5 linked regions of the Oryzias latipes genome follow. The protein of the gene in region 2 purifies or fractionates together with the protein of the main gene of each other region. This does not show direct contact. Links are inferred from orthologs where the notes say so. Each region holds a gene or a part of one and is shown on either strand. Other genes may lie near its edges. The genes, in order: polr2b, mediator of RNA polymerase II transcription subunit 26, cdk8, cdk19 and med9.

Region 1 (6,770 bases), on a different chromosome or scaffold from region 2:
CGGAGCATGATGGGTATTTTCCCGATGAAGGTCTTCTGGTGCTGCGTCTGTAGCTGGTCCTCCCCCTCCTTAATGATGGTCTTCGTGATGTCCACATAAAGGGGGGCCGAGTACCTGCGGGCCAAGCAGACTGGGTGAGGGCGGCGCAGAGCGACGTCCGGGGAGCGCACGCTCGCAGAGACCTACGTGAGGTTTCGCAGCCGCGCCTCGTTGGGCATCATGGGGGAGGGCGCTCCGTCTCTCTCCCAGTGGGTGGGCTTGGACAGGTAGATCTGCTCAAACTTCAGCAGGAACCGAGGCTACAACAGAAAACACAGTTCTCCCTAAAAGCCTCCGGTAGGCATTTGAGTGTGATGGAGAGGAACAGATGAAGGCTCCGGGGTTTACTTGACAACAAAGCTGGTTTTTGATAGAGCTGCACGATGAGGAAAACTCGCGATATTAGTGATCAATATAGCGATAGCGATTTAACTTGCGATACCTGAACAAACAGCAAAACAACCAAGAACATCCATTTAACTGCAACAGTTTAAAAATGACACTCAATGATCCTCGTCTGCATGGGAGGCAAACGTCTAACATAAAAGAGCTCCATCTGATTGGTCAACAACGTGAAGGCGTCCATCTGATCGGTCAAATGCATAAATGGATTTATTTGATTTGTTAAATTCTTCAAGCAGCCATAAGATTGTTTTAGCACATTTAACGTAACCGTTTATTGCACTTTTCGCCGCCTTTTGCGATTGAATGTGATCCTTTCACCTGTGCTCTCTCTCTTTACCCTTCCATCCCCCCAAAAAGCTTCAGAATGACCTCTGGGGGGGGGGGGGGGGGGGGGGGGGGGGGGGGGGGGGTCATGGACTTGGATTTGCCTTTAATCATAAGCCGAGACGGTGCACCTCATGGTTACTGACGTATTTATTCGCTCGTGATTTTCTAAATACATGCAGTCCATGCTGAACTTTTCTCTGGGTCACACAGACCCGGAGGAAGGTTTAGGTTTTGGTTACGGTCACGGCGGTGCATCAAACGGGTTACGGCAGCACACCGCTCCCGTCCCGCGGGACTCGGGTCAGCTGAGGAGAATAAATGTCCCACACCTACATGCGTGACAGCTAACGGGGCTTGAACTTTAAACACGCTCGAGCAAAAACAAGATTAGTTTTAGACACACTGAAAATACGTGGGGAAAATGCAACGATAGACGTGTTTGAGATGAACCGGCACCTCGCCTGGATCGTTAGGGAGACCAGGCGGGGGGGGGGGGGGGGGGGGGGGGGGGGGGGGGGGGCACTGTGAGATGAAGGCGAATCTGCAGCAAGACTGAAGGACAACAGTTGGAGTTGTCCTTAACATTCAATTTAGTTTTAATATTCTTCTCCCCCTTAGTATGATCTGTGTTATTATATATTTTATGATTATTTTAATGTTTTGTGATGTATGTAGCCTTTTTAATGAATTGGTATTTTAAATTATTTTAATTAATCACTCCACTACAAAAACCATCAGGACACATGTCCCATAATGCATTGTTTTGTAGTCTCTAGTTTCCAGCTGTGTCCGGGTAGGTTTGCCCCTTGCTCCCACCCCTTTCTCGCGATATTTTTGTGATGATTGACAGTTGATGTTGGAGCAAAAACAAAAATATATGTCTCACACCAGGTGATCTGTGCAGCGTTGAGTTCACCTGGGTGATCTCAAACACACTTATTGTGCATCTTGGCTGCACCTATTTGGTGTCACAAAGATAAATTTCCATCTGTTTTCTTTACTATTTGTACTGTCATGACAGCGATGGTGCTGTCAGTTTACCTTCTTGTTGCATCTTCAAAAGTGAAGAATAAAATGTGACACTGAATTTGAAACAGCACATTTTAATTTCTGCATCTATTATTAAAGTATTTATTAGTAATACAGTGGAAATGAATAGATTTGGTTAGCATGTTGATTTACGGTATGCGCCCCTAGAATTTTCAGTTAGGGGCCACAGTGCTCCTAGTGAAAAAAGTTAGTCTGGAGCCCTGATGTGGCATAAAAATCAGAAGCTCCTACTAAAACTGAAGGACCTGCAGCCCAAACCAGCCAACGCAGACTCACCGGCTCCTCCACCTCCCCTGACGTGTGCTGTGCTTCAGCCTGCAGGTCGATGGGAGGCGCGTCCTCCACAATCCTCTGCACGGACATCTGGATGAACTCATCGAAGGAGTCCAGCTGCTGCCGCACCAAACCCTTCTCATCGAAGTACGAGCTGCAGAACAGACAGCAGTTCAGGAAGAGCTCGGAGAGCTGCAGCGGATCAGAACCGTCTGCGTCACATCCTGCACCAGAAACTCACAGAACCGATGATTAAAAGAGATGACTGAAGAGGCTTAAAGTGTAAAAGATGATCAGAAAAAGGTTCAACTTTTCCTTTGTTTTTTATTGAACTCTATCTAAACAGCAGTTTGGGTTTCTGATGCAGAACGCTCTGGTGACTGCGTGACTGCTGCGTGTGCGGCAGCAGAAACCCACTCATGTTTTGTCACAGTGGGCCTGACAGGTGAGCTTACCTGATGACGATCCAGCATGCTTCCTGCCACAGATCTGGGGTGATTTCATCATCGTCTTCATCATACTGGTTATCTAACAGACACAGAAATGATGAGGCCACATCCACACTAAGACATTAAAGGTAACTGACAGCAGCTGGTCATCAACACTGAGCTGTTGGTTCCTTAGGGTTACGCTCTAGTTAGTTTGGTGGGTGTCCGTCATCGGTCTGGACTGCAAATAAAGGTTTGTTTGTATATGACTGTGTTATCATGACAGAGGGAGTGAGGGTTTATGTTCATATTCCTTCTCTACATCCTAACTACTTAAAAAACTATCTATTGCCCTGGTTATTAAAGCCAATTAAAGCCATGTTTACTGCTTTTCTTTTATGGCAAATATGACATTTTATGACGTAAATCTGAACATGTTTGATGATGACCATCATCATCATCATGATGATGGTTAATAGAAATTCCTTTAAATACTTTTTTTTCAAATGAAAAATTGTTCAAACGCAATGCATTGTGGTCCAAATTCACCAATCAAGTGACCATCAAGGCACACTGGTTTTTCGCAGAGACTTCTGGGAAATTTCTAGCGATCTGGATTTTGGAATTGTAGATTTGGATTATTCGGACAGTCACTTAACCAGAATCAGTGAGCGTGTTTACAGGTTAACAAACAGACTGAACAGATGTTAAAGCCACTCAGCTGCTGCTCCTGCTGCTGTGGAGCGGCGCTGCTCCTGCACGGCAGTCACCTCCCACAGCATCCCACTGACCAGGGAGGGTGGTGGGCCCATTCCCAGAAAACAGTCTTCTTCTTCTTCAATTCTCCAACTATTCAATGATGACCATATTGGTGAACAAACATTTCTGGTTTGGCATAAAATACTTCAAAATATCGCGACAAAGTGCTAATGTTTCCCCCCAGCCGGACTGACTAAAGTTATTTGCGTGTTTCCTAGTCTGCTCGTTTTCCACGCGTGTTTTTCCCCCCTGGTTACTACGTGCGTCTCGGTTTTAAGAGTCTGTTCAACTACAGAAAGTCCGGTTCCAGAAACTTGCTGCATGCAAAGAAGCTTCAGACAGGTTTTGGTTGAACAACATGGAACATCATGATCATGGATGGAGGAGACGTTCGCCATGCGTGAGCGTTCACGCGCAGCTCTAACGGCGCTGCGTGGAATCCGCGCCTCACCTTCGTCCTGGTCGTACATGATGGCTTCCGAAAATCCCTCAAAACAAAGACGGCTTCAGAAAAAAGAAGACAAAAACACGGAGAAGCGGCGCGCAGCCTGACACAGAGACCCGGAAACACTTCTTCTTTTTCTGCGGGGTTTCCGGTGTTTGGCGGTCATCTGCTGTGACAGCGCCCCCTGCGGTTGAGGCCAAGAACAGCAGTGTGCGAAGTGCAGTTAGTAAAACAAATGTAACAATAATAAATCAGACATCAAAGCTAACTATAGATACTTAACATTTTACTCTAATATCATTAGGTTTTCCCTTCAATCAGTGTTCAACTTACAATGTTTAAATATCCATAAATTCAAGAAATTGTAGAAGGAAACTTTTGTTTCTCAATATGGAGATGAGAGGACTTACAGGTCATTTTGTGTTCATGTAAATCCCAAATATAAGGATGTGTGAACTTATAACTAATGTTTTTGTTGATAATCAATGACGCTTGGTAGTGCATCTTAATGGTCTAATGTAACGTGCATGTGTTCTGTATGCATTAATGCAAAGCATCTATTTATAATTATGAATAAACACACTGTCAATATGATAGCATCATCTCATTACATCTTTTTTCTTATCAATTATTACTTTTTATCTGAAATGGATTTAATCTGTTTAAATTTTGGATTTCTGTTCTTTATTGTATAATTCCATGATTTCAATACTTAAAATGAATCATAAAATTAACTATAAAAAAATAATCACTGCAGTTTAACAAGAGGCCAAGTGGACTTCACTTCCTGCCGGAAGCCTTTCCTCTGTGTTGATTAGAAAATAATGAAGTCACAGGACTTTTTTGAAAGGATTTTAAGTATGTTTGATTAAAATTAACAGTAAATTTGAACAAATTGACAAACATCCAGAAAGTGAAGCTTTTAGTAAAACATGAGCAGAGATGCAGCAGGTTTTACATCTGATCCGTTTTCCTAACATTATTTAAGTTCACTATCAGAGGTTTTAAGGTGTTTCTGTAAAAAAGAAGATGGTAGAACCCAAATAACGTATAAATCCAGATCCATCTGAAACAGACGTAGCCTGTAAGTGTTACAACCCTCTGCTACATAGTGGAGGGAAAAGCAGAAACTCTTCTATTGATTGAAAGATTGTCTAAAAATGAGATTTTATTTTTTCTAGTACTGTTGGGAATTTTATGTAAAACCAGAGTTTTATAACGATCTATTTTCTGTACCATCAGTGAATGGAGTCTTTGATGAGGAAAAGCTTAGTCATCACAAACGGTCCTATTGTTGCAGCTTTTAATCCCCCTCCCAACACCTACAGAACAATTCTAATCTTTGTAGATAATCTGGGTTAGCTAGAACTGTATTTTTCATAATTGACACATCAGAAGAGAGAGAACTCCACCATCAACTGCAGCTCATGTGAAGGACGTGATGTGATGGATTTGAATGCCACTCTAGACGCTGCAGGAGGACCAAGAACCACAGAAAGGAAGGGATTCAACCATTTATACAGAATTCCTTTTTACAAAACTGATGTTTAGTGTAAAGCTGCAGGGGGTGGAAGTCCAACATTGATAGAAATCACGAGTCATGGTAAACGGAGAAATAAATGCTGCATTATCCAAAACTACTTGTAAAAAGTTAAATTTTTTAATAGTTTAACATAAAATGACTTGAAAATCAAACAAGAAAACAAAGACAGCCCAAAAATGGAATAAATGTCTAAAAAAAAAAAGGAAAAAAGAATTTTCTTTTGGTTGTCATTAAAGCGTAAATGATTGAAAATCTTTGTGGGATTTTTCAAAGCTGCAATTCAGTGAACATTTGAAATGTCGTTGCTCTCAAAGAGCTTTCCCTTCTTCATCCCTGAGCCTAAAACAGAGGGATTTTTGGAAATGACAGCTTCTCATCACTCATCCGTCTTCCAGACAGCGCAGCTGCTTTTTCAAAAGTCGGGTAAAGGAAATAAAACACACACACGTGTTTACAAAGCATTGTTTAATCAGAGCCTTAAAAAAGTGTCCATCCGTGGTTAAACCACCACAGGCTGAAATAAACCCGTTCATGAACGCACCACAGAGATGCGTCACACAAACCCTCCGAAGGAAAAGATCCAGGTCCACGGCTCTTCCAAAAAAACAGGAAGAGCCGCTGCTCCTCGTGAGGAGTCTGTCCCACGCAGATGGAGGGCCGCGCCTCCTCCTTTATCGTCCTCCTGCGAGGAAACAGCGACACAGCTCAGACGACACAAACAGCGCACAGTAGGACGCCTGACGGTGAACCCACCTCTGAATCCTCGGCCACCACCACCTCCTCTTCCTCTGAAGCCTCCTCCACCGCGTCCACCTCCGCCCCGCCCACCCCGGAAACCTCCTGAGACAGACCCGCAGGACCGTTACTCCTTTCTGATTCCACGACTGTCATGCAGTCATGTCATGTCATGCCTCACCTCCACGACCTCCTCCTCTTCCTCCACCTCGCCCGCCGCCCCGCCCTCCCCGGGGCGGACCCTTTTCCCCCGGAGGCCTGGGCAGAAACCTCTGCAGTGGGAGCAGCTTCATGGGGTCTATGTAAAACTGATAGAGAGGGGTGTGAGTGTCCCACAGACACAGCAGCATTCAGCCACACAGCAGGAGGAAGAGGAGGAGGAAGAGGCCTTTACCTTCTGCAGCTTCTTGAAGGAAGACGCCTTCATGTTTTCAGACAGTTTGACAGAAAAGTACTGCAGGACTCATAAGGAGCATGCTCTCATGCCGGTGTTTCAGACTCGCTCCGCTCACGCACCAAAAGGATACGAAGTCCCGCAGCTGCCCGAAGATCTCATCCACTTTCCCGATCTGCTCCTTGTTTTCCAGGTAGACCGGAGCGTTGAAGTAGGGGACTTTGTTCTCCTCGGTGGTACACTTGCAGACGATGTCATCTTCACAGGGATGGACGAACTCGCCCAGAGCTGCAGAGACAGGATTGAAGCAGGCGGTCACCTCGTGTCAGATCCTCTGAGGTGTGAAAGCGTTTGTGTTCCAGGCTGCAGCTG
Region 2 (4,837 bases):
TACCGCAATTTCCGCCAGTTTTGACGATGCGCATCTTGCACAGCTTGATATCGCGATAAAGATAAATTTGCGGTTTATTGTGCCGGTGTAGGTACCAAGAGTATTCGGCCTGCAATAACTGTCGGGGTCCTTCGGGGTCCTGCGACTAATGATGACGTCTCATTATGTGATTGGCTGTATGTTGCTCTGATGACGTTTAAGATGGTGATTGGTCCACAAGTTTACACGCCAACACCATTATTTGTGAGAGCAAATACAGTTCTTCTTGAGAAACATGGGCGACTTGTACATCGAAATTTCCCACTATATATCACAATGGACTGATTATAGCCTCACCCTCAATTCACAGGATATGTTGGAACAGGGAAGAGGGGAGTACTGCAAGGGATTTATTTAGAGGATCATAATCCAGGAAACTGCAGCCACTTTTGCAGCCAAATGCAATAGGTAAACTTGAGTCAGCCGCATACATTTATACTAAATGTGGTCATTAAAATAATTATGTTATTGATTACAAGATCTTTTTTATGTGCTTTACATTTTATTATTTGACAAGAAATTCTATTTTAGCGATTTTTACAAACTAGATTTATGTTTATTTTAACTGCCCTTTCTGCATATCATGTGTGGCCAGCAGTGGAGACGAGCAGAAAGTTGGATTCAAGACATTTAGCATTTGTTTTAGTGCTAATTCTTTGGTTTTTTGGTTGGTTGGTTGTTACAATAACTTGAATAATACAAAAAAAATTGAACAAAAAAAATAAGGAGTGTGTGCTGCTGTTTTTTTCTTTTCTTTTTTGTAATAAGTTTATTTATATAAATATAAACCTTGCAATCATAACTGTTAGAAACTGACATTTGGGCCAGTTAAACCAGAATACACACCATAAATAAATATTGTTTCTCATACAGTCCTTCATTTACTCATGTTGGAAAAATAAGTTTATGGCCAATGTGTCACCCTATTATACATTTGGTGCAACAAACAATTATGTCAGACACTGCTTAAAATTCAAAATGTCATTATTTATGAGGGAAAAAGAACTTTAGGTTACAAAATGAAACGTGAAATTAAAATATAGAGCCCTAGCAGATCTCAACGCTATGTAGCTATGTAGTTTGTCCAAGCGGTGTTACCGTAGTGTGATGTCATCATTAGTCGCAGAACCCTGAACAGTTATTGCAGGCTAAATACTTTTGGTACCTACACCAGCCTAGTTGAATTCCATTTTGATCTGTGATATTTTTAGAGTATGCTTTGCGGGAGCTGTGGTCTTCATGGGAGACCATGCACCCTTGGGCACTGCGTTGGTGACCCCATCCAGGGTTTCACAGCAGCTAATCAGGACACAAAACAGGGTGTGCAGTTTGGGAAAAAAACAGCTGCATAATTGCTCTTACAGAATGAGCGAACGGCAAAAGATGAACTCCAATGTAGAAAGGGAAGACTGTCTTCTGTTTGACAGGGATTCTTAGAGGGGTTCAGGTCGGAGCACAGACTGCAGAGTGGTGGATTAAGATGTCTCTTATGTGGGTCTCCATGGAGAGGCCGGATTGAAGGCAAGCCGGATCCTGCCCACGACCCTGATTTAGACAATTTGACTGAACTCACCTGGTTATCACAGGTGTCTGAGATGGATGTCAGTGATCCACACCATAATCCATGAGTTTGATTTGAAAAATTCATCTTTTTGACTCTTAAATACAAAACAATTGCATAATAATTTGGAACACACTGTATAAATGTGAGGTAATGAATCCCAAGAGAAGCATACCAATTTGTTATATCTGCATTTGGTGTCAATCTTTATTGAATGTTGTTCAACAGTGTGGATGCCAGCATTGTCTTTGAACTCATGAAACAACTGTCTGTTTTTTGCAGATTTGCAACATGGTGATTGTGTTGGAAGTAATTAACTGTCTGGAGAAATATCCTATCACCAAAGAAGCACTTGAGGTAAAGCGTGCATTCCTAAACAGATACTCCATACTGAAAGGAAAATACTGACTTTCTTCTCTGATTTTCTCACATATTTTACAGGAAACGCGACTTGGAAAACTGATCAATGATATTAGAAAGAAGACCAAGGATGAAGATCTTGCAAAGCGCGCAAAGAAACTGTTGAAAAACTGGCAAAAACTGATTGAACCTGGGCCAGTTGTGGCACCCAGTGTCACTGGGTCGACAAATGGCAGTTCTCATCTGTGCCGAACCGACCCCTCTCCTCCAGAGATTTCTGTGTTGGGGAAAGGATTTGCTGATGTTAGGATGAGAAATTATGTTCAGAACACGTATTCACCTAAAGCTGAAAAATCAAGCAAGCGCAAGGTAGAGCACAGCAGACTGCACTTAACAGAAAACCTCTCAAAGACGTCTACATATGATAATTCTGTCTCCCCACTACCCACCAATGGGATTGCTGGCAGCCCAAGAACCCAGTTTGAACAAGATGTCACAGTGTCTCCTGGTAAATGCCGAGTAGATCACCTTGATGACGACAGAGTGAACAGAACTTCAGTCAATTCTGTCAGGCCTTGTCCCAACTCCCCTGGGGTGGAAAAACTACCCAGCACTTCCTCTTTGGTTAAAGTTGCAGTAATCCAGCAACATGCCAGGCTGGAGGAAGAAGGAGGGAGCTACAATCAAGGCAAGAGTCCTCGCAGTGTCACTTCCAGTCCGCGGAGCCAGAAGCATGACTCCTTACCAAAGCGCTCCGTACCATATGGACTGAAAGGAACGCCAATCCCAAGTCCTTCTTCCAGAGACTCTCCCTTATCCTTTTCCCAGGCTTTGGCTTCTCCGGGTCAACCATCTTTTGCTGAGAAGCTGCCCCATTTATCTCATAAGCCTTTGTCACACACAACCAGTTTGTATGAACCCCAGGATGTATCTGGAACTCTGGATTCACCATCAGCCTCCCCTCTCCTCTGTCAACAGAATACAGAATCCCAGAGATCAAGATTGGAAGCGGGCTTTGTGGTGTCTGATGATACTGATAGAATGACAGCAGCCAACTCTGAGCATAAAAGGAGGAAGTACAAGTCCAGAGACTTCTCTATTAACCTGGATGGGCAGAAAGTGGAAGACACAACTAAGAGAGTACGGTTAAAAGAACGCAGACTAACGTTTGACCCAGTCACAGGTCAGATCAAACCTCTGGTGCATAAAGATCCTTCTCCAGTAGAGGTGTCCTCTACTCCTGATCCAGCAGAGTTTAGGCAGAGAACAGAAAGTTCTGTCCAGCAGTCGGCTGCCACAACAACAAGTCCTTGCCCTAACCCTTTCCTCCAGACTAACTGGAAAGAGCTGTCTAGAAACGAAATCATTCAGTCTTACTTGAACCTTCAGAGCAATTTGCTCACCTCTTCAGGGGTTCAGACCCCCAGTGCACACTTTTTTATGTCAGAATATCTCAAAAGGGAAGAACAGGAGACCAAAGAGTCCAAGAAAATGCACGTTTTGCAGACAGACAGCTCAAAGGGGGATTTACCAGGCATGAGTCGGCAGTTGACGGACAAGGACTTGGAGAGGATCCACACACAACAGTGGCCAGGAGTAAATGGTTGTTATGACACCAATGGCACCTGGTATGCTTGGACAGAGTGCATATCACTGGACCCCCATGGGGATGAAAACAAATTGAACATCCTGCCATATGTTTGCCTTGACTGAGGAGTGTGGAAAGCTTGTTTTCTTTTTCATTCCTTTTGTTTTGTCTTCACCAATGAAGCATAGTTTTAGATTTTGTTGTTCACTGTGAGTTTGGCAAAAAAAAAACAAAAAAAAAAACAGGGCTGCTTAACCCCCCTCCCCATGGCTCAACCTGTGATTACAATTTGTTATCAAATAATACAGATAAAAAAAGTCAATTTCTGAGATATCAAGGGCTGTTTCTGTCTTTTTTTTTTTTACTTTAAAGGCCACAAAGATGAAAATAGCCATGTCAGCTCTGCTGTCACCCTGATGGAAATGGTTTTCTGAGCCTGAGACGTTCCCATGTGAATTGTTGATCAGAAGTGCAGCCTTGTTTGACGGGGATCAAATCCTTCTCATTGAGCTTCTCATTTGGAAAAGAGTCCAGATCCGTCTGTAGGAAGGAAGGCTGGGGTTTGTGCCTGGAGTTCATAGAGTACAAACAGAGTGAAACATGTCCACAATTGAAAACATTTGAACATGTTTGGCAGTTGAGATATTTTGTGATGTATAAAAAGTAAAGTATATGTTCCTTTTAATATGTTCTTCTATTTATTTTTGACCAATTCAGTCATGGAAAGTTTGTCCGTTCTTCATAACTTTTTTCTTGAGCGTGTTGTCAGCCTCCTCTTTGTCATCATCTCTTTTAGATTGGCCTTTTTTTTGGATCAACATTCCAGAGTCAAACTTTATTTCTGGTTTCTTGTCTTACAGCTCATAAAGGTTTTGTTTCCTATTGGCACTCAGTTTTTCTGAACCTGAACCTCCAGTTTCCATAAAAAGAACACGTTTTCCATCCTGTTGGTGTCCAAACCAAGGAATCGGATGGTTACAGCGCTGAAAGGACGAGCAGTTGTGTTTGCATGCTGAAGCCCTTTATGTTCCCAAAGAGATGGTTTGCCTTATGATGTTGTTGGACAATATTGTTTAGTTGAACAGCCTTAGTGAATGTACAAGCATTGTGACCTCTTTTGCACTTGTACATAAAATGACAGCTTGTCAGTCATTCCACCATCTACTTGATTCAAGTTTAAATAGCAATTTATTCTCCAACAAGTTTTAAGGGAGCATTACTTCTGCTGGTATTGTTTGCTAGGATAAAAACATCGAGCTGCAAGGATTATAGATTTCTTATTCGAAGAA
Region 3 (6,831 bases), on a different chromosome or scaffold from region 2:
TAAAAATACAGGCAATGGTAACAAAATGACAAAGGAAAAGTTAATTTTTTATCTCATGAGTGAACTCAAATCAAAGTCAAATTCTTTAACACGGGTTCTGAAATAATACACACAGGCATATTTAGATCATTAGTGAGGCCATACCAGCTCCCATATGCAAACCAAAATTAGAAAATCATAAGTTAATGCAGTTCTGGCAATATTGGAAATATTATAAAACCAAACTGTCTGGGAGGAACTTCAATATCTCAGCATCTCATGAGATAACATGCAGCGTAAGACCAAGATATTCAAATATTAACCTAATGGTAATTTCTCTTAAATTAACATCAGGTTTTTCAAAATTACTGAAGGTCAAACAGTGTGACAGATGATGACTAAATGTAACAGATGAATAAGAGCACAGAGGCCGTGTTGCTTTGTTAGCTTGGAAGGAGAGAAATGTCTATTACAGTCATATGCAGCATTGTTTCAGTCCCACACATGCCAGTCTGAATGTAACTTTGTAGTAGTTCTACAAAAATGTTATGAAACTTTATGAACAGTATTATTTATTGTAAAAACCTAGATACTCACAATTAGGACTGGACCAAATGCCATAATAACTCAATCTTGTCTTAAAAGCACATGTGGTTTTGAGAATTTATGAAAAACATAAAAGTCGCAAATCCAACAAAGTTAAGCCATTTAACTGTAAAATTGTATCCGTACTAAAATATCTGCATCTCAGTCATAAAACAAATTCAGTTTATTTGCAAACATTTCCATTAAACATTGTAATTCAAAGAAAATTTACCAATGACTTTTGAGCATAAAAAGCTTTTTAAAAGCAGGTGTTAAAAAGAATGTGTTGCTAAAAATAAGTGGAAAAAATTAAATAAAGAGTTTAATTAAATCTATGTCACACTGTCATAAAAATTACATTGAAAGATCACAGCATGCAACTCAACTGACAACCCAGAGTCCATGTAATGTGTATGCCAATCCTCACCAGGGGTGCCCAGCAGGTTACCATCTCTCATGAGGCGGTACTCGTCTTCACTCAATTCATTTATGAAGTGATAATATGCTTCCTCCCGTCGAAGACGCTCTGCCTGCCTCTGCCGTTCATCTCCCCCACTGGGAGGGTCCATAACAAAGAAGAGTGCTGGAAGGCCCATGTGGAAGGGTGTCAGAGAAATGGACACGGTGAAGCAACATTTCACTTCAGTTCACAAAAATGTGGAACATTTATTCTAATGAAGTTAGACATGCTTCCAATCAGACAACATTAGTTCGTGACCATCAGTCTATATTCTTCTGTTTTATTCTTGTCTAAACAAATTTTAATTATACTTTATAATTTTACTGTTTTGTGGCCATACTATCCTAACTGTGATTCTTGTCAATGCTTTTCTAAAAGGTCTTTTTTGTGCATAAAATAAACTTGCCTCTCTAATACTTGTTATAATTTCTACTTAATTTACAAGAGTATTCAAGGTTCAACACTAATAGCAAAATCATTTGTGTATAGGACTAAGCAATATGGACAGCACAGTAGTATTAACATTTGTGGAAAAAAGGTATAGTCATATATGTTCTGCTGTAAAGGCCCAGCTATAATTTGCATAAATCACTGATCAAATGCCTGTGAGCGAGTATACATAAATAATAACCATGAATAGTATCCCCAAAAGGCCATGTCCAAATCATGTTGTTCAGCTGACTCTTAACCAATCACCGCCCCTGTTTGGTTTTAGTGGCAGGTCAAGTAACCAATCACCGTGCGACAGAGGCGGAAAATGAAACCTATTAAACGGAGATCTACTCCATGTAAACGCAGGACAAGGAAGGAAACACAAAGTCGTGAACAGCACTAAACAATAAAACGATTAAGATATTATACTGGGAATACACGTACGACAACACTTTAACGAGGCTGTTTGTTCTATATTTACTTCAAGACGCTACAATGTTGATTTAAACAAGCAACGCGTCAACTGCTAACTAGCATGCTAGTGATATAACGTCAGCTAGTAGTAGCAGCACTGAAGTCGACAGCCGTTTAGCTGAGAGGCAAAACCTCATAACGCACCACATATGCTGTTACAACAAGTTCGCCGGATATTGCACATATGATCTATCTTTATAGATAAATGGAAACCACATTAGGAAGTAGTGTCAGTAACATTTGCTTTAGAGAAGTACCTGACAAAGCAGCTGTAATGGAAGGTTCTCTCCGCTTTCCCCTTTCTCTCCGACCAAGATGGGACCAGCGGTGCTACATGACTCTGCTCGCCGGAAACAAAATTCCTTAACCCTTAGTTCCTACAAACACAGCTTTTTGTTTATTTCTTTGTTTGTTTGTAATCTTTTTTTAAGTTCCTTGTGATATTATTGACTGGTAAATTTGCTTCTAACATTGATTAAAAGATTAAACATGTTTTTTTTTCTTTTAGTCTACTGTATGCACCAACTGACATCCTTCGTCAGCAGCAAACTAAATGCTGTCTTTTTATTTTTATTTTTAGAATTAATATGCAAAATACAACAAAAATTGAGATTAAATAGAACAATTATGTTGAAAAAAACGGGGATGGCGTATGCATTACAAAACATACATTATAATATAGTAAAAATATTATATATATATATTATATAATTATATATTATATATAAAAATATATTAAAAGACAGACAACTTTCAAATATATTTTTTTTTGTTGTTGCTACTGTTAGAAATTGTACTCCAGTCAATCAAAAAATGTGTATGCATACAGGGAGACATTAGATTAACGAGGATAATTCTAGGTATTGTATTCTTTTTTTTGCTTGTTTGTTTAAATAGAAAATTGTGACTTCTCATGGCATTTCGGTGTGTATGTAAATAGCCTTATTTATGTACCATTTCACGTTTTTTCTCTTATAGAGGTTTTATGTATTTAAATACTTGTTTTCTTTTATGTTTGTTTTTAGGATTTATCAATAATTACTTTTAAAGATTACTATTTGTTGAACTGTAAAAACTAAACACTGGCAAGTGACTGCATAATAAAAGAAAGAATATCTGAAAAACCTTCCTCGGCTTTATTTGTTTGTTGTTCACCCACGTACTGATTTATTTATTTATTTATTTAAGTGCGAATATCCACGTGGTTGTGTATCTCTGCCATTCTCCTTTCTCTGCTGCAGGGGCTGTCTTTACGACACTTTGCGACAATGGCTGGCACGATTACGCCGTGGCTACAGACTGAATTGCGTCTCTTTGGAGAAGATACCGGCTGAGAGAAACGCAGAAACAACAGAAAGGAAATTGTAAAATCGGGCCTTTTTCAGCACGGATAATTGCCAATCTCCGCGCTTACCCATCGGAAGGTTATTTTCGAGCCCAAACCTCGATGTGGAAGCTGAGCTGAAGAAAGAAAGGGACCCGCTGGGAAGGCAACTAGCTGAAATAACCAAAAACCGAGCTCGTTGAGTCAAGGAGCCTAGTTGCCTCCCTAGCGACGCTTTAAAAAGAAAGGAAGAAACGCAGACATTCAGCCTCTGAAGTGGTGAAAAATGGACTATGACTTTAAACTGAAGCTGACCGGTGAACGAGAGCGCGTCGAGGACCTGTTTGAGTACGAAGGATGCAAAGTGGGAAGAGGCACCTACGGTCATGTGTACAAGGCGAAGAGAAAAGATGGGTGAGTTGATGACCAACAAGGCCTCCAGCCGCTGAACCCTGCGCCAGCCCCCTCCCGCTCCATTTAAACCACTTTAGTTTGCCCCCTTTCGCGGTGGAGGAAGCGTGCTGCAGACAAAAACAGCAATAGCAGAGTGTTAAAAAGCCCACACTAGGATGCTGAGGAAGCTTTGTGTAGCAGCACTACTAGCTTAAATGAGGAGTGACATTTTCTCTCATGGATGGGAGGCTAATTTAGCAGGAATATATTTGCAACCATTGCATGCAGCTTTGTGGTTGGTTCTGTGTGAGCATCATTAAATTGTATTAGTTAAGGTTAGATCTAATTAAATTGATATTGTACTTATTGTGGTTCTCAGGTCTTGTTTATCATAATCCACACACATTTAATTATGAATTTGATTATGATTTTCCAGTGGAAATAAAGGTTTATTGGCAGTATAGATGTGTCTGAGATCAGTTTTTTAAACTAATATTTAGACAGGAAATTAAGCTTCAATAATAATTATTTTTTAGGGGACATATTTTTTCTAGTAGTGACACTGGGATTTGTTATTTATGTTGTTAATGTTAAAGCAACACTTGAGCTTTTAAAGTGCAACTTTCCGATGTGGTCCCTAGCTTTATCTGGCCCTAACCTGGGTTAAAGCAGCAACTTCCTGGCCCACACAAGGCGCATTACCCTAAAGGAGAAAATCTGGACAGCAGAACCATAGAAAGAAGCTTTGAGATGTTTGTGTTACTGTTGTTTATGAGACACCGTGGGCTGCAGAATCTTTCCAACTACAAAGTGTGGATTTATAAGATAATTTAGGCCAAGAGGAGGAACGATATTCAAGAGTGAGCCAGTCCCAGAGCTCTGTTTGTCCCTCCCAGCTGCCAGAAACCGCCTGTTTCCTCTCCCCCTTTATTGTTTAGAGCCTCAGAGGTGAGCTTGATTACACAAATCTGGAGGTAATGCAGCTCAGCCTCTTCACCAGCTCCCCACACCAGCTGCCAAGTGCCCCCCTCCCGTCCTTTATTTTTGTTTTCTGTGCATAGAGCTTTCTGGGGGCCTGCTGTCTGGCCTGGTGTTGATGTGCTGGATTTTTCTGTTTTTAGGAAGGATGATAAAGACTACGCCCTCAAGCAGATAGAAGGCACTGGCATCTCCATGTCAGCCTGCAGAGAGATTGCAGTAAGGGCTTTTTCCCACTGGTTAATACATTTATGCCATTCTTTTCATTTAGAATATTTTTGTTTTAACCACTCATTAAATGAAACCAAAATTGGTTTATTGCATTTATTCATTTGTAAAATAAGTTCATAATCATCCTAAACTTTAAATAAGACAAATTAAGATATTTCATTGAAAGGACATTTGTGTTTATTGGATTAAAATGTTTCAAAATGCACTACAATATGTCCTTAGTGTGACATCTGACCATATTAGCAGCTTTCTGTCCCTTGAATCCTTTTACGTCTAAACTTAAAGGGATAGAACACCAAAATGTTTTTTTTTCTTGTGATTTAAATAAAGATTAGCTGTTTTCAACAAGGACAAAGAAAATGAAGCAGGCTTTGCATAAAATGCTTGTTTAGCTCGCTCCACCCCATCTCAAAAAGCCATTTGTGACTTTTAACATTACATTTAGCAGCTAGTTACCCATCATTCTTCCTGTACATGCTGGATACTGGTGGAATAGTCAGACATGAAAAAGGAAATTATTAATTTAAGTTGAACAAAACCCCTTAAAGATCATTTACTCGCTGCTTACCAGCACTGAAAATCATATTTGTGTTCAAAAATCGAAAGTCTGGGTTGGCATTCTCTCACTTTGGTTGTTGCCAGATTATTTATTTATCGTCTTTGCAGGTCAGAGGCTTGTTCAAGTACCGAAAGAACTGTTCTAGAAGCACCAAGCTCAGGGAATGTTTGGCAACTACATTTTTTTTCTGAGGCCATAGTAATTGCTGAAGATCACCTCAAACATGCAATACTTTCTGCCTGGTAGTTTTATTGTCTAAAATTGCAACCAGAGAGTGCTGGGATTAACAAACGCACAGCTCCTGCCTGCAGTTTATCACAGCCATGCTGACTCTGACTTTACTCCATAAACAGGCTCCCATCTGTCAAATCTATCAGAATATTTCTTGGTCGTCAGGTAAACAAAAGCTGGAAGGTGTTTGGAATATTTTATGTATGTTTGTGGCGCGTTCAAAATGTTTTGAACTTACAGGCTAACTCAAACACTTTATAGGCATTCATTAATTGTAAGGTTTATCTGCTTTTGGTAGATCGTGCAGGTAATACCTGATTTTCGTTTTATTTTCGGAAATGTTTCTGGTCTGTGTGTTTTTGTCGTTCCTGATTTATGCCATGGAGCTGAAGGGTTTTATGTTGCAGCTGCTGCGGGAGCTGAAGCACCCCAATGTCATCTCCCTGCAGAAGGTTTTCCTGTCACACGCGGACCGTAAAGTATGGCTGCTCTTTGACTATGCGGAGCATGATCTCTGGGTAAAATGGAAACACACACTGGAACTGCACTACTCATCAATCACACTACTGCTGTGCGAGGGGAGAGCCAATACGATGTTTTTCTACTTTAACTTTTTTCACAAGTAACAAATCCCCACCTATGCTCAACGATATGTTACATAAATTACACTGCACGTCAGTACTTTGAAGATTTTTCTCTACACGCGGGAATGCGCCCCTTTGATGCTTCACACTTCAGAAAGAAAAAAACAACAACACTCCAGTCTGTTGGTGTCATGAGAAGAATTACTTTGCTTTTTGGTAGTTAAACCCTTTTCCATTTAAGTAAGCAGTTACGACTGGCAGAGAATGTAAGTGAAATACCTTTTACTGCCGCAGAGCTGCAACACTTGCATTCCCCCTCCACAGAAGTGGAAACACATGCTTAAACCATATTGCCTGTAGAACACACATGTCAGTGTGTGGATCTGTAGAAAAGAGTCCATTTTGGTAAATGTGCTCATTCATGGTACAGCTGCTGTTTTCTTGTCTTCCCGTAGCACATTATAAAGTTTCACAGAGCATCCAAGGCCAACAAGAAGCCGCTTCAGCTTCCCAGAGGAATGGTGAAGTCTCTGCTCTACCAGATTCTGGATGGCATCCATTACCTCCATGCCAACTGGGTCCTACACAGAGACCTTGTAAG
Region 4 (6,174 bases), on a different chromosome or scaffold from region 2:
ACTGTATGTATTTTGCGCGTTTCGGGCTTCCACGTTCAAAACTCTCGCATTCACTCATCACTATGCAAGTTTTTAAGCCTGTTTTCAGGCTCTACGTACACAAAAACCTAGAGCCTTTGGCAACCCTTTTCTGGAAATGTTAAAACTTTACAATCACGTAACATAAACACCTAGCTGGCTCTCATTTTACCAAAAAATGTACTTTTAGTTATTTCTTTTATCTTATTTTGCTTTACTAATTGTCACTTTAAATTATCACTGACCTGAATAATTTGTTCTGTGTTTATGAAGACCATTTTGTTTTTTGTGTGTTCTACTGCTCTACACATCTCCTATTCGTAATCCCTGGAGAGTTGCTCTTGGTATTAATCACATCTGTTGTACTTCCCTTTTTTTTTCTGGAGGATTGGTGATGGGATGTGTATCGCCTTTCTGTTTGGGGTTCTTTCTTTTTCTTTTTGGTTCCAATGTGTGTGAACAGGGGGGGAAAGGAAAAAAAATGGATATATTGTTTCATATCACGTGTTCAATATTGCTGTTCTAAAACCCAAAAAAAAACAATTTTGAAAAAATAAAAACCTAGAGCCTATAGGAGTAATTGTGTGCTATAAGTATGCATGTTTGTGATGTAATGCTGAAGGGTTTACTCTGACCTGTGCCCATCTGATAGGAGTCAGCTGTCTTTCCCTGAAAAAGTTACCCCTCTGTGGCCTCATGGAATCACCTCCATACTTCTCTCTGGTCTCCTTTCCCTCACACCCTGACATTAAACTCCACTTCTGTGACATGTGTCATGTGTTTCTGTCATCTCTTAGTCTGCACCCTCAGCTCTCTTCTGTGATAAACACTGATAAATGTGACGCCTGACAGGAAAACAGATGCTCCACGTCGCTCTGTCAGCAGGCGCTCTGGACTGGACGCCACTTATCTACTGGTATTGTCTACTGTGGAGATGCACGTGTTTTCTCCACCATTACTCTTTCACTCTCAAACAAAAGCTCCTGGAACTAAGACAACAGGATTATATAACTGTAATGGTCAAAATGTTCTGCTGCCAAGTCATTACGCAGAATAGAAATCCGGTTTCCATGTCAAGATTCAGCTCACCGCTACATTAATGGGTGTGAACCCTGTAGGCAGTTAAAAGCCTGGATTCTGCTTTGACCTTCAAAAGCAGGCCGGACAGAAAGGGCGTCTGTCCATCTATCAACATGTCAATGACAAACTAAAAGCAAATAAGTGTGAATCAGACTCTTTGAGTCACTATCTCAACAAATCCTGTTGACAAACGTTCATTTAAGGCTGTCATGAGGAGGAACATCACTTGAGACCAGCAGAAGCCCAATCACACACGTTCTCCATCCAACATAAAAGCAGCTGGTCAACAATTTGTCAGTCTGATCATCCACAGTAATGATTTTTTTAATCTGAAAGAGATTTACTTTGGACGTGTGTTTCTGTATTTCAAATAAAGCAATCTCTATGAACAAAGAGTGTCTCGCTTATCTTTTTGGTATCGTGTGTTCAAAGGACATTATCCCAGAGGTCTCTTGGTTTGTTAACATGCAGTTTTGTGAAATATCCTGTCAGCATAGTTTGATGGTTTCATGCTTTCACAAAGTGGCGCCTCAAGAAACCTCGCATGTGAACCGAAGCTTTAGAATTGTACATTTATTTTGACTAAAATTACAATAAAGGAAGGAATGTATAACTTCAGATGTAGCTTCCAGTTTATCAATATTTTACCCCAATTTCTGGCTCATATTTTTTCTGAATCAAGTGATTTTATTGTTGATGATTATAAACAACTAACTAAAGCATCCATAGACGTTGTAGCTCCACAAAAAAGGGAAAACTCCAGCTACAGCACTATGGAGAAATGAAAGGTTTAAAAGCCTAAGAGGAGAATACAGGAGAGTGGAGTGAAGCTGGGGGGAAGTTTAATTATTCGTTCCTTCATCACTGTTAACCATATTATGGCTTCTTTGAGTCTGAGCTTTAAATATAGAGTAATTTCAATTACAAAGAATAACCTTGATTATTTTGTGACCATCATCTAATTCACCATTTTAAAGGAAAATCAACCATTTTTATCCAATCACTTTGAGACAGATCTGTAAGCACAACTAATTGTTGAACCTAAACTGAATTGAATTGAAGCGTGCAGATATGGAGATGCAGCTCTCAGGTTTTCTTTCAGTCTCGTTCAAGATTTTTATCGTTTCACTTGTTCCCTCGCCGTGAATGAAAGAAGTCATCTATGATTAGGTAAAAAACACGTTGGTGAGTTGGGGTCTACTTATGTAGTACTACTGGAGTTAAAGGGTTAAATAGTAAAAGGGTTTAAAATGTGGGAAAGCTGATATCAAGAGACCCAACAATCGACCACACATTAGCAGAACTTACCTGGTATTCTGACTGTAAAACCCCCGTGCCTGAGGAAGCCCCAGAGGGCCCGAGCCGAGGTTTCTTGTTGGGTGGACCCTGATCCTGACTGTGCTGCAGACCCCCACCGCCGGTGGCTCCCGCGCCTCCAGTGGTGCCATTGGTTTGGGCCGAGCTCTGCTGGGAGGGGGCCTGCTGGGCCGTCGTCTGTTGCTGGTTCTGGGTCTGAGTCTGGCCTGCCGTCTGCTGGTGCTGCTTGGTTTGTTTTTTGCAGAGACACACAAAACAACAAACTTAGTTAACACAGAGAAGACAATGAAGAACAACCTGGGAGGATTCTTTAGGGACTATTGATTTACTTGTTTGTTGAGCAACAACAATCTGACTAAACAGTAAAAATGACCTTAATGTAAGCAATATGTTTATGCTGGTTACCTGTTAGGTCATCTTGTTTACATAAAGCTTACTAAGGTCTGTATTTTAGACAGATATAATTTAGAGGTTTGGAGGTTTTGGTATGTAAAACATAAAATAAGTATAGACCAAAGCCAAAATGAAGTGACTGCAAAAAAAAAAAAAAGCTTCTAAAGAAGATACATCTGGGGATAGAAGCTAAAATCAATCAGAGGTCACCTTTTAGTATACTATGTGTCTGATCACAGACGGCCTTTGTTCGTCCTCCTTTTCAACGTCAGACCTTGAAATTCTTGGATACTTTTTCTTCAAAACACAAACTCTGTACCTACCATGCTGATCTGCTCTCAAAGGTACCAAGAAGACATTTGAGGCACAAATGGTGTATTCAAAGTATTCATTAATTGAAGTAAGAATACTTGTTTTGATGAAGTGGATCATTCAGCTTTCAGAAATATACTACAGAACCCCCCAAAAGACCAAATTATCCACTGAATGGGTATTGTTAAGGTGTGGCCTGTGAAGTCACATTATGTCAGCGTGCTATTACCTTTTCCGTTTTCTCTTCGGGCTCGTCTTCGTTCAGAAACTCTCGTTTGGGGTAGGGAATCTGACAGCCAGCAAACACACTGAAAAGAAAATCCAAACCAACATCAGGCCAGTCGGACATTTACAGCAGACACTCGTGATAAAACATGAATATTTCTCCTGCTGAGATGGAACTTGTGCAAAAGGCTCACTCTGTGGTCGGTAATGGGTCCTCAAGGAAGTAGGGGTCCTGCAGCGCCAGCTCAGATGTGATGCGCTTGTTAGGGTCCATGGTGAGGAGTTTCTGAAGCTGAAGACAAACAGCACAGTTTTCCAGCCAGCTTTAAAATAAGCCTGACAATGTTTCGACACTAGAATAGTTCCGTAAAACTGCTTCAACAGGGCAAGAAATGCTCCCATTGTGACATGATTTGCTTTAACATTGTTCTTCCCAAACAAACACTGACCAAGAAGAAAACGATTCAAAAAAAGTCATGCACTTTCTCTGACGGTCACGTTTATGAGCTTCTTCACATTTTCACAACAGATCTACCAACAAGGCAATATCGAACCTAAGTCACACTTTCATGGATTAACTCTTTGGGCAGTATTTTTCCCAATGAACCCCGTAAAGCCAGAGCTGTCCCCAACAACAACAAGTAACACATGATCTTTAAACTACCATAACTTCAACCCTTTGCACAATTAAAGCAATTCTACTGGATTTCAAAAAATGAGAAAACAGCTTTTAAAGTCTTGCATAACCGTGCAAAGCTTTTTCTCAGCTTTCAGAATCTGTTGGAATTTTGTTGTTGTGCAATCGGTCAAAGAGTTCCCGTAATACCAAGAATGTTAACACCAGAGCCACCCCTCCGGTGCTTAAAGGTTAAATTACAGTGTTTCCTACACTGGGCAAGCTAGTTTTTCTCAGGACCTGTGGTGTGTACCTGCAGTTACTTGTCTCTATTTTATCTTTTAATTTATGTTCCAGTGTTGTCTGTGTGATTTTTTTTGTTTGCTTCCCATTATCTAATCTCTAAAGTTACTATCTCAATTTTTTCACAAAACAGCTGTTCCAGTGTTTTTGATTCTGTTTCTCTTTTTTGTTTGCTTCCCATTATTGCCATTGCTACAGTTGTCTACTTGTATCTGTTTTGTCCTAGAACAGGTGTCCCATTGTTTTTGTCCCTGTGTTTGTTTGTTCTTTCTAAATCCAAAAGATCTTTTGTATAGTTTGATGTTTCGTGCTCTTTAACCAGCGCATCAAGATTGCACCAGTTGGGAAAATGAACTGAACTTGACAGAACTGAATCAGCACACTTACCAATAGGAAGACCTTGCTGTCGGGTTTCACTTTATGTTTCTCCATGTATTTGATTAAGCTGCTGTTTGTATACCTGCCAAGTGAGAACATTGTGAAGACACCTATGAAATTTTGTCATTTTAGTCTTTATGGGTTTGATGGCGAACAGATTGTTGCTCACGTTGTCCTCCTAAAATCCTTCTGAAGGGTGGGGTACTCTGGCATCTTCCTGATGTCTTCCCAGTCTTTATCTGGGGAATGAAAACAAGTCATGGGGGTCACAATTACCACAACAAAAGGGTCCGGTATTTTAAAGTTTACACCTTTGTTAATCCCTCAAGAAAGATCTATGTTTGATGTTTGCCCTTAAACACCAGATATGTCGCTGGTGACATCTGACTAACACACACTCTTTGACGTACCATAACTCTTCGACAGCTTACACGCTCAACATATTAGTAACGTCACATGTTGCATGCTGGGGCAAAGACGCTTTTATCCACAGATGTATGTTAACTTACATAAACACTTCAAAACTGTAAAGTGTTGCATATCAGCAACACTTCCATAAACGGTTGAAGAATTATGGTAGTCGTAAAGACTGTCAAGACTGGAGCCAGAGCTCCAGAGTAAAAGGGTTAATGCACATGTGAGAAAAGCTTCAAAGCAGAGTTTGTTCAAAACAACCATTAGCAGACCTGCGGGGAAACCCATAACGGTGAATATCCGGTCTAGCTGGTCGTGGTGGAATGGGTTGCTGGTCTTGATGTCCTCTTGGCGACAGTGAAAAATGGGTTCTGACGTCAGCAGTTCTGCGAAGATGCAGCCAATCGCCCAGATGTCTGTAAAACACACATGAGCATGAGTATATCTACAAATGGAGGCCACTCTTAGTTGTGTGACTCACCAATAGCTTTGGTGTAGTGCCGGGCACCCAGCAAGAGCTCAGGAGCGCGGTACCAGAAGGTCACCACCACCGGATCGAGGTCTGCCAGCGGCTTAAGGGGCGAGTTAAAGAGTCGGGCGAAACCCATGTCAGCTTTAGGGTTGGAGCAGAGAGACAGGGACAGTATCAGAAAGACATGAGAGGAATAAAGGCCAGCAGATAACGGTGACACCATTCCTGACACATACAGTTTCATGGTTGGAGTTGCAAAAAACAAAAAAAACAATACAATCTATAATTCCACCTCAGCAGCTTTGTAGCATCTAAAAGTATTGCTACAGCTTATTTAAAGTAAAAGGATTAATGCATATCTGAAGAAAAGCTTCAAATCAAAGTTTGTTCTAAACAACCATTAGCAGACCTGCAGAGGTGCAAATGTTAGGAAGACAGTATGGAAATTTCCTTCACCTATTTTGACTCTTCCTCGCTCCGGACCTTCTCCCATCACCAGGATGTTTGCTGGTTTCTGTTGGATACACAAACATAGCATCTTAGATTCAATTCTTCAACACTGTTTGTTCACCAAAAACGTAAAACAAAACAAAAAATCCCATTAAAAAACACAATTTTATACATTAGTTTTCTACAAGGGCTGATT
Region 5 (5,123 bases), on a different chromosome or scaffold from region 2:
TATGAAAATGACGAATCATGAATCACTCCCAAAGGAAGATGAGTCACTACAACAATCCATGACACAGACTATTCAAACAACATCTGAATGACAAACAGAAAGACAGAAATGTTTTAAGTTATAAGTGATTTAATGGATTAAAGACACAAAGAGGATTCAAAACGCTGTTTCAAATTAGTTTTGCAGGTCAGCAACAGAAAATGACTGTTTTGGAAAGAATCCTTTAAGATTTTTAAATCATTATCTGCTGGCTTCAAACATTTAAACTAACAGAGAATATAAGGCAACAATGATTGAAAATGAAGTAAAAAATGTACAATTTCTAACTTTTCTATAAGATAGACAAATAATGTTTCTGAAAACTTCACAAACAAACTAAAAAAAAAATGGAGATTCACATTCAGGGGAAATGTATTTTGTCTGATATAAATTAGTTTTGCAAGATTAAGTTAAAGTGGTATCTTTTTTTCAAGCCTAATGTTTGGAAATACAGCCAGCTTGTTTGGAAAAAAATAGTGTCAGACCGATATAAGTGTGCTATGATTAGCCAACAGATCAGCAGACAGGGCATCTGCATCCCACCAGCTTTCCACCAAGGATGCTAGGATGTGACCCATCTGTTGGAAACTGTCAGCTGTCTTCTTTACGTCATTGCAGAGAGCGGGCGGGGTAAACCTAACCATTTGGGGGGTGTTATGGAGAAGTTCAAAAGGAAGTGTTCGGATATGACCCAGCCAAAGAGTCGCACTAGAACTCTCTTGGCAGTCGTTGCATTTTCTACTGAGTTTATGGAAGAAGTTTTCCAGGAAAAGGCAAGTAGTTCATCTTTGTCCATAAAAGGGAAATTCTGTGGGCTAAATTTTGAACCAGCAATGGTCAAAGCGTTGTTTTTATTAATAAAAATTGTAAAATGATCCACAATTCAACAAAGAATTATCCCTCAAAATCTGATGTGTTTTCATTATTAGGTTATATTTTATTTTTTTAAATTAAGGAAAATCTAAAAAAGTGTAAAGTGAAACTATCCTTTTATATGTTGCCAAATGTATTCAACTTTTCACATATTTTGCAATGTAAAAAGAAGAAAAACACACCTATTTCAATATATCTGCAACTAATTAAACAAAAACAAAACATTTCAACAGGATTTTGAAGAAAAAAAACTATTTTTTTTATTTAAATCCTTGCTGCAATTTTAGTTTTAAAAGTCATATTTGACTGCAAGGGAGACAATCCCAGCTACTGCAACGGCATTTACTGTATGTCGCTCTAAAAGTGATTTCTGCAAATCCTGGCTAATGTTCAAAACTGGATTTAAATTATTACTAAATCTAAAAATAATTATGCAAGCTCCTTCGCTGCCTCAAAAGTGAGGTTCAGCTCATCAGCATATAAAAACAGCGATATTCTCTTTTCAAATTGGTTTGATATGTGTGATGCAATGACCAGATCCGTCAAAATGATCCAAGATTTGATAGTTTACACTGTGATAGTTTACATTGTAAAATGCTCTGAAAACGTCAATTTGAGGTTACTAATATATTCTGTTTAGTTTGTGCAAAACCTCCCAATCAAGTCGAAATGGAAATCCTTACTTTTACAGTCAGTGGCGCCACTCATTTAGATATCCATTCTTTGTCACACCTCTGGGTAAAAGCCTCACACTTAATTTAATGCTCACTGCCTGTGTCACGTTGGCATTCTATCTTCTCCAGGGGAGACTGAGTTTTTCCCTTTCTGTGTTCACCAGGTGTGAGTAATGAACTCATGGGATGTTCGCTGCATCAAGAGGTCAAACTTGATTTCATGTGAAATGGATGTAAACATGAGTTATTTGGGCTAAAAAGAATACATTTAAAAATAAAACACATAATTCAACATCAAACAGGAGAATCGTCATTGCTACACATGCATAATCGTGTAGTCACTTGTACTAACAAAGAATTGAGCAAATTAGCCATTTTAATTCTCCGTGTTGCCTAATGTATTGCCAAACAGGGCTTTAGAAAATAACCAGGAAGTAAGCTTTTCATTATTTTGTTTTATTTTCTACATACTAAATATTGTATCCCCAATCAACAAGGACGCACTGTGTAAACAGAAAAGGAAAAAGGGTTTCCAGACAGAGATGCACGACCTGAATGAAACACTTCATTTATCTTCCAAACAGACAAATTGCGTGACGCACCGTGAGACTATATTTGTGCTTGCTATGAGCTCTAGTGTTTACACAGCTCCCCATTTTTCAGTTCTCAAGCATGTCTTGTGTTGACTTTCGATGTCAGTACTTCAGGTTACCAAGTAGCAAGACGTGTAGCCAAGGTCATTCCAAGTCCTAGGTCATGTGTTTATTATGTGCATTGACAAATGGTCTGTGACCTCCATCCATCCATCCATCCATCTTACTCTGCTTTACCGGGACTGGGTCACGGGGGCAGTCTAAGCAAAGATGCCCAGACTTCCCTCGCCCCTGCTACTTCCTCCAGCTCTTCTGGGAGGGACCCCAAGGTGTTCCCAGGCCAGCCGAGAGACGTAGTTTCTCCAGCGTGTCCTGGGTCTTCCCCGGGGCCTCCGCATAGTGGGACATGCCCGCAACACCTCCCCAGAGAGGCGTACAGGAGGCACCCGGACTTGATGCCCGAGCAACCTTGGAATAGGTCTGGGACCTATTCTGAGCAAAATGATGACATGCCACGAGAATTGCAAGGGCTTTATCAGAAAGAAATCAGTCCCAAATCTTTTAGATCTTTTTTCTTGTGTTTGAAATTTATTACAGCAAATTTTTCTTTGTTATTTCTTGTTTTGTGTCAAGACTTTTTAATAGTTTGGGAATCATACCATGACTTATATGACTTACCATCTCAAGGTAATCATTTTTTTCATACTTTTGATAACTAGAGTATTCATTCATTCATTCATTCATTCATTTATTCATTCAATCAATCATTCACTCATTCATCTATAATCATTGTTGTTGTTGTTGTTGTTCAACATCAATTGAACTTTTTTAAAGTTGTGATTTCAGTTGAGATTCTCGGAGTAACCTGTGACGTCATCAGCCTGCGCCAGTTGCAGAAGGAGTAGCAATGGCGGTAGCTCAGGCTAAGCTCGTGAAGGAGACCGAAGACTGCTCTTTGCTGCCCTTAGTTCACGACATTATCAAATGGTAAGCTGTTTCCTGTGTGCTGGGTTTACGTATATGTTGGTATTTACTAAATGGTTCACGGTAAACTCTCGTTGGGGGTATTTACGGTTTGCTATATGAGAAGTGACGTGAACGCTTCCCATCATGGGTGCAGTTTTGCCTTTAATAGAAGTCTGTTATTTATGTATTTATTTATTTATTTATGTTTCTGCTTAGCATGGATAAGGACAGCCCGGATGTCAACCAGGAGCTGACAAAACTAAAAACAAAGATCCAAGAAACCCGGGAGCAGATCTCTAACATGTCTGGGATAGACTGCAGTCCGCCGGAGCAGCAGCAGCAGCTGGCCACGCTGCGGGAGCAGGTCCGCACCAAGAACCAGCTGCTGCAGAAGTACAAGGGACTGTGCATGTTTGATGTGCCTAAGGCGTCGTGAGACAACAGACTACAAACTGGAGACTTGAGCAAAGACGTTTATTTCTACGGTTTACCATTTAAAAAAAAACCTGAAATGAAAAATGGGACTTTTGTTTTTCTTTTTTGTTTGCATCAGTGTGAATGATCTGCTCTGTTTCTGAAGTATCTGTTATTATTTCAAGTTGTAAATCTCTATTTTTAATAAATTAAATCGTGCTATAGTGTTTTACTTGTTTTCATTATTATTATTATTATTATTATTATTAATAATAAATGTATAAGGGCTTTGATGCTTTATTGAGCAGACCATTTAGTCTGAATCTAAAAGGTTTTTAAATAAAGGAAAGCATTTGCCACGGCACACACTTTCACATAACTTTATGTAGTTCCTTTTCACAACATGCAAAGTAAATCTAATTTAATGTGAATCAGCATTTTTCTCTAAACAAAGTTTGATTTTAATCATAAATGATATTGTCTCTAATGGGCCAAATATTACATCTGTTGATATCTACTAAATAGCCTCTAATTATATGTGCTGCACTGCCTCCTAGTCTAATTGTTTTCCTTCTCTGTTATTGTGCCATGGTTATCATTTGTGCAAACAATGGAGTCCTAATGAATAATTATTCAGGCTGTTAGCTCTTTTTATATATAAGTCCATTTAATTTCAGAATGTCTCAATAAATGATGTGTTATAAACATGTATTTTCATTCGAACAGCAGAATGAAAACGTATATATAATTCTTAAAGTGTTTGTTTTATGCGAGAAATTGGAGAGTGGGACTGAGAACAGACTATGAAAGTATCAAGTTTTTTATTTTTTATTTTCTCTTTATGCAAAAGTGGACAAGGACATAATAAATATACACATGGAGTTCATTTGTTCATTCTGCAGCAAACATTCAAGTTTGAAAAAAAGGCAACATGTAAACTTGGTTTTCACCTTCTAGTGCTGCGCATAGAAAGCAAAATGTAGAAACAGATTTACAGCATTTTCAGAGCATCGATTTCACTACATGTCTTGGCTCATATTGGACAAGAGTGCCTAAAGTTTGTCGCAGACGCGCTGCGCATAGTCACATGGGGACAAAGTTTTTTGCGCTCGTAGAAATGGTCAGCAAATTACGCAGCCCTTTTCTTTGGCGTGGCCGCCGCCGATGGCTTTCTCCTTTATGTACATCAAGTCACTGTGCACGCTTGGTCTTCGTGCGAACGGTGCCACAATCCCATATGCGTTCCCATCTTTGCACTTCTTGCTTCTGAAAGACTTTCTGTGGAGAACGTCGCAGTACTGCAGGGAAACTTTGCAGTGCCGATCAGGACTCATTTCGTTTGGCAGCTTGGCCATGGTAAAGAGAGTCTGAAACATCTGGTCGACGTTGGTGTTCTTCTTCGCTGAGATTTCAAAGTATGCGCACTGTTCATCTCCACCAACCAGCTGCTCAATCTCCTCGTCCTGCACCTCCCGGTAAAAGTCTCTGTCGCACTTGTTGCCGCAGATGACCAGCGGGACGTCCACGTTCTCCTTAGTTTTGTTTCGCAGGCATGACTTGGTCT

The links.
Region 1: the proteins of mediator of RNA polymerase II transcription subunit 26 (region 2) and polr2b purify together in Homo sapiens (affinity purification with mass spectrometry; 3 studies listed by BioGRID and IntAct, with this or other methods). This does not show direct contact. The link is inferred for Oryzias latipes from reciprocal best matches to the Homo sapiens genes MED26 and POLR2B.
Region 3: the proteins of mediator of RNA polymerase II transcription subunit 26 (region 2) and cdk8 purify together in Homo sapiens (affinity purification with mass spectrometry; 5 studies listed by BioGRID and IntAct, with this or other methods). This does not show direct contact. The link is inferred for Oryzias latipes from reciprocal best matches to the Homo sapiens genes MED26 and CDK8.
Region 4: the proteins of mediator of RNA polymerase II transcription subunit 26 (region 2) and cdk19 purify together in Homo sapiens (affinity purification with mass spectrometry; 4 studies listed by BioGRID and IntAct, with this or other methods). This does not show direct contact. The link is inferred for Oryzias latipes from reciprocal best matches to the Homo sapiens genes MED26 and CDK19.
Region 5: the proteins of mediator of RNA polymerase II transcription subunit 26 (region 2) and med9 purify together in Homo sapiens (affinity purification with mass spectrometry; 6 studies listed by BioGRID and IntAct, with this or other methods). This does not show direct contact. The link is inferred for Oryzias latipes from reciprocal best matches to the Homo sapiens genes MED26 and MED9.

What each region holds. Positions count from the first base shown.
Region 1 is NC_019868.2:3,850,876-3,857,645, forward strand, and holds the start of polr2b (DNA-directed RNA polymerase II subunit RPB2), read right to left. Parts: upstream 3,868-6,770; 5' UTR 3,752-3,867; coding exon 3,733-3,751; intron 2,623-3,732; coding exon 2,550-2,622; intron 2,249-2,549; coding exon 2,098-2,248; intron 300-2,097; coding exon 187-299; intron 115-186; coding exon 1-114. Other genes in the region: gar1 (H/ACA ribonucleoprotein complex subunit 1), read right to left, coding at 5,941-5,951, 6,023-6,109, 6,186-6,312, 6,399-6,458, 6,532-6,686. UniProt on the Homo sapiens protein: Catalytic core component of RNA polymerase II (Pol II), a DNA-dependent RNA polymerase which synthesizes mRNA precursors and many functional non-coding RNAs using the four ribonucleoside triphosphates as substrates.
Region 2 is NC_019875.2:6,559,460-6,564,296, forward strand, and holds part of mediator of RNA polymerase II transcription subunit 26, read left to right. Parts: intron 1-1,882; coding exon 1,883-1,957; intron 1,958-2,041; coding exon 2,042-3,673; 3' UTR 3,674-4,837. UniProt on the Homo sapiens protein: Component of the Mediator complex, a coactivator involved in the regulated transcription of nearly all RNA polymerase II-dependent genes.
Region 3 is NC_019878.2:17,541,357-17,548,187, reverse strand, and holds the start of cdk8 (cyclin-dependent kinase 8), read left to right. Parts: upstream 1-3,146; 5' UTR 3,147-3,540; coding exon 3,541-3,668; intron 3,669-4,768; coding exon 4,769-4,844; intron 4,845-6,053; coding exon 6,054-6,164; intron 6,165-6,685; coding exon 6,686-6,826; intron 6,827-6,831. Other genes in the region: E3 ubiquitin-protein ligase RNF6, read right to left, coding at 992-1,133.
Region 4 is NC_019882.2:10,375,688-10,381,861, reverse strand, and holds part of cdk19 (cyclin-dependent kinase 19), read right to left. Parts: intron 6,043-6,174; coding exon 5,985-6,042; intron 5,670-5,984; coding exon 5,538-5,669; intron 5,473-5,537; coding exon 5,329-5,472; intron 4,882-5,328; coding exon 4,812-4,881; intron 4,725-4,811; coding exon 4,652-4,724; intron 3,638-4,651; coding exon 3,540-3,637; intron 3,429-3,539; coding exon 3,350-3,428; intron 2,641-3,349; coding exon 2,407-2,640; intron 1-2,406.
Region 5 is NC_019866.2:10,873,320-10,878,442, forward strand, and holds med9 (mediator of RNA polymerase II transcription subunit 9), read left to right. Parts: upstream 1-3,034; 5' UTR 3,035-3,086; coding exon 3,087-3,166; intron 3,167-3,361; coding exon 3,362-3,581; 3' UTR 3,582-3,786; downstream 3,787-5,123. Other genes in the region: rasd1 (dexamethasone-induced Ras-related protein 1), read right to left, coding at 4,681-5,123.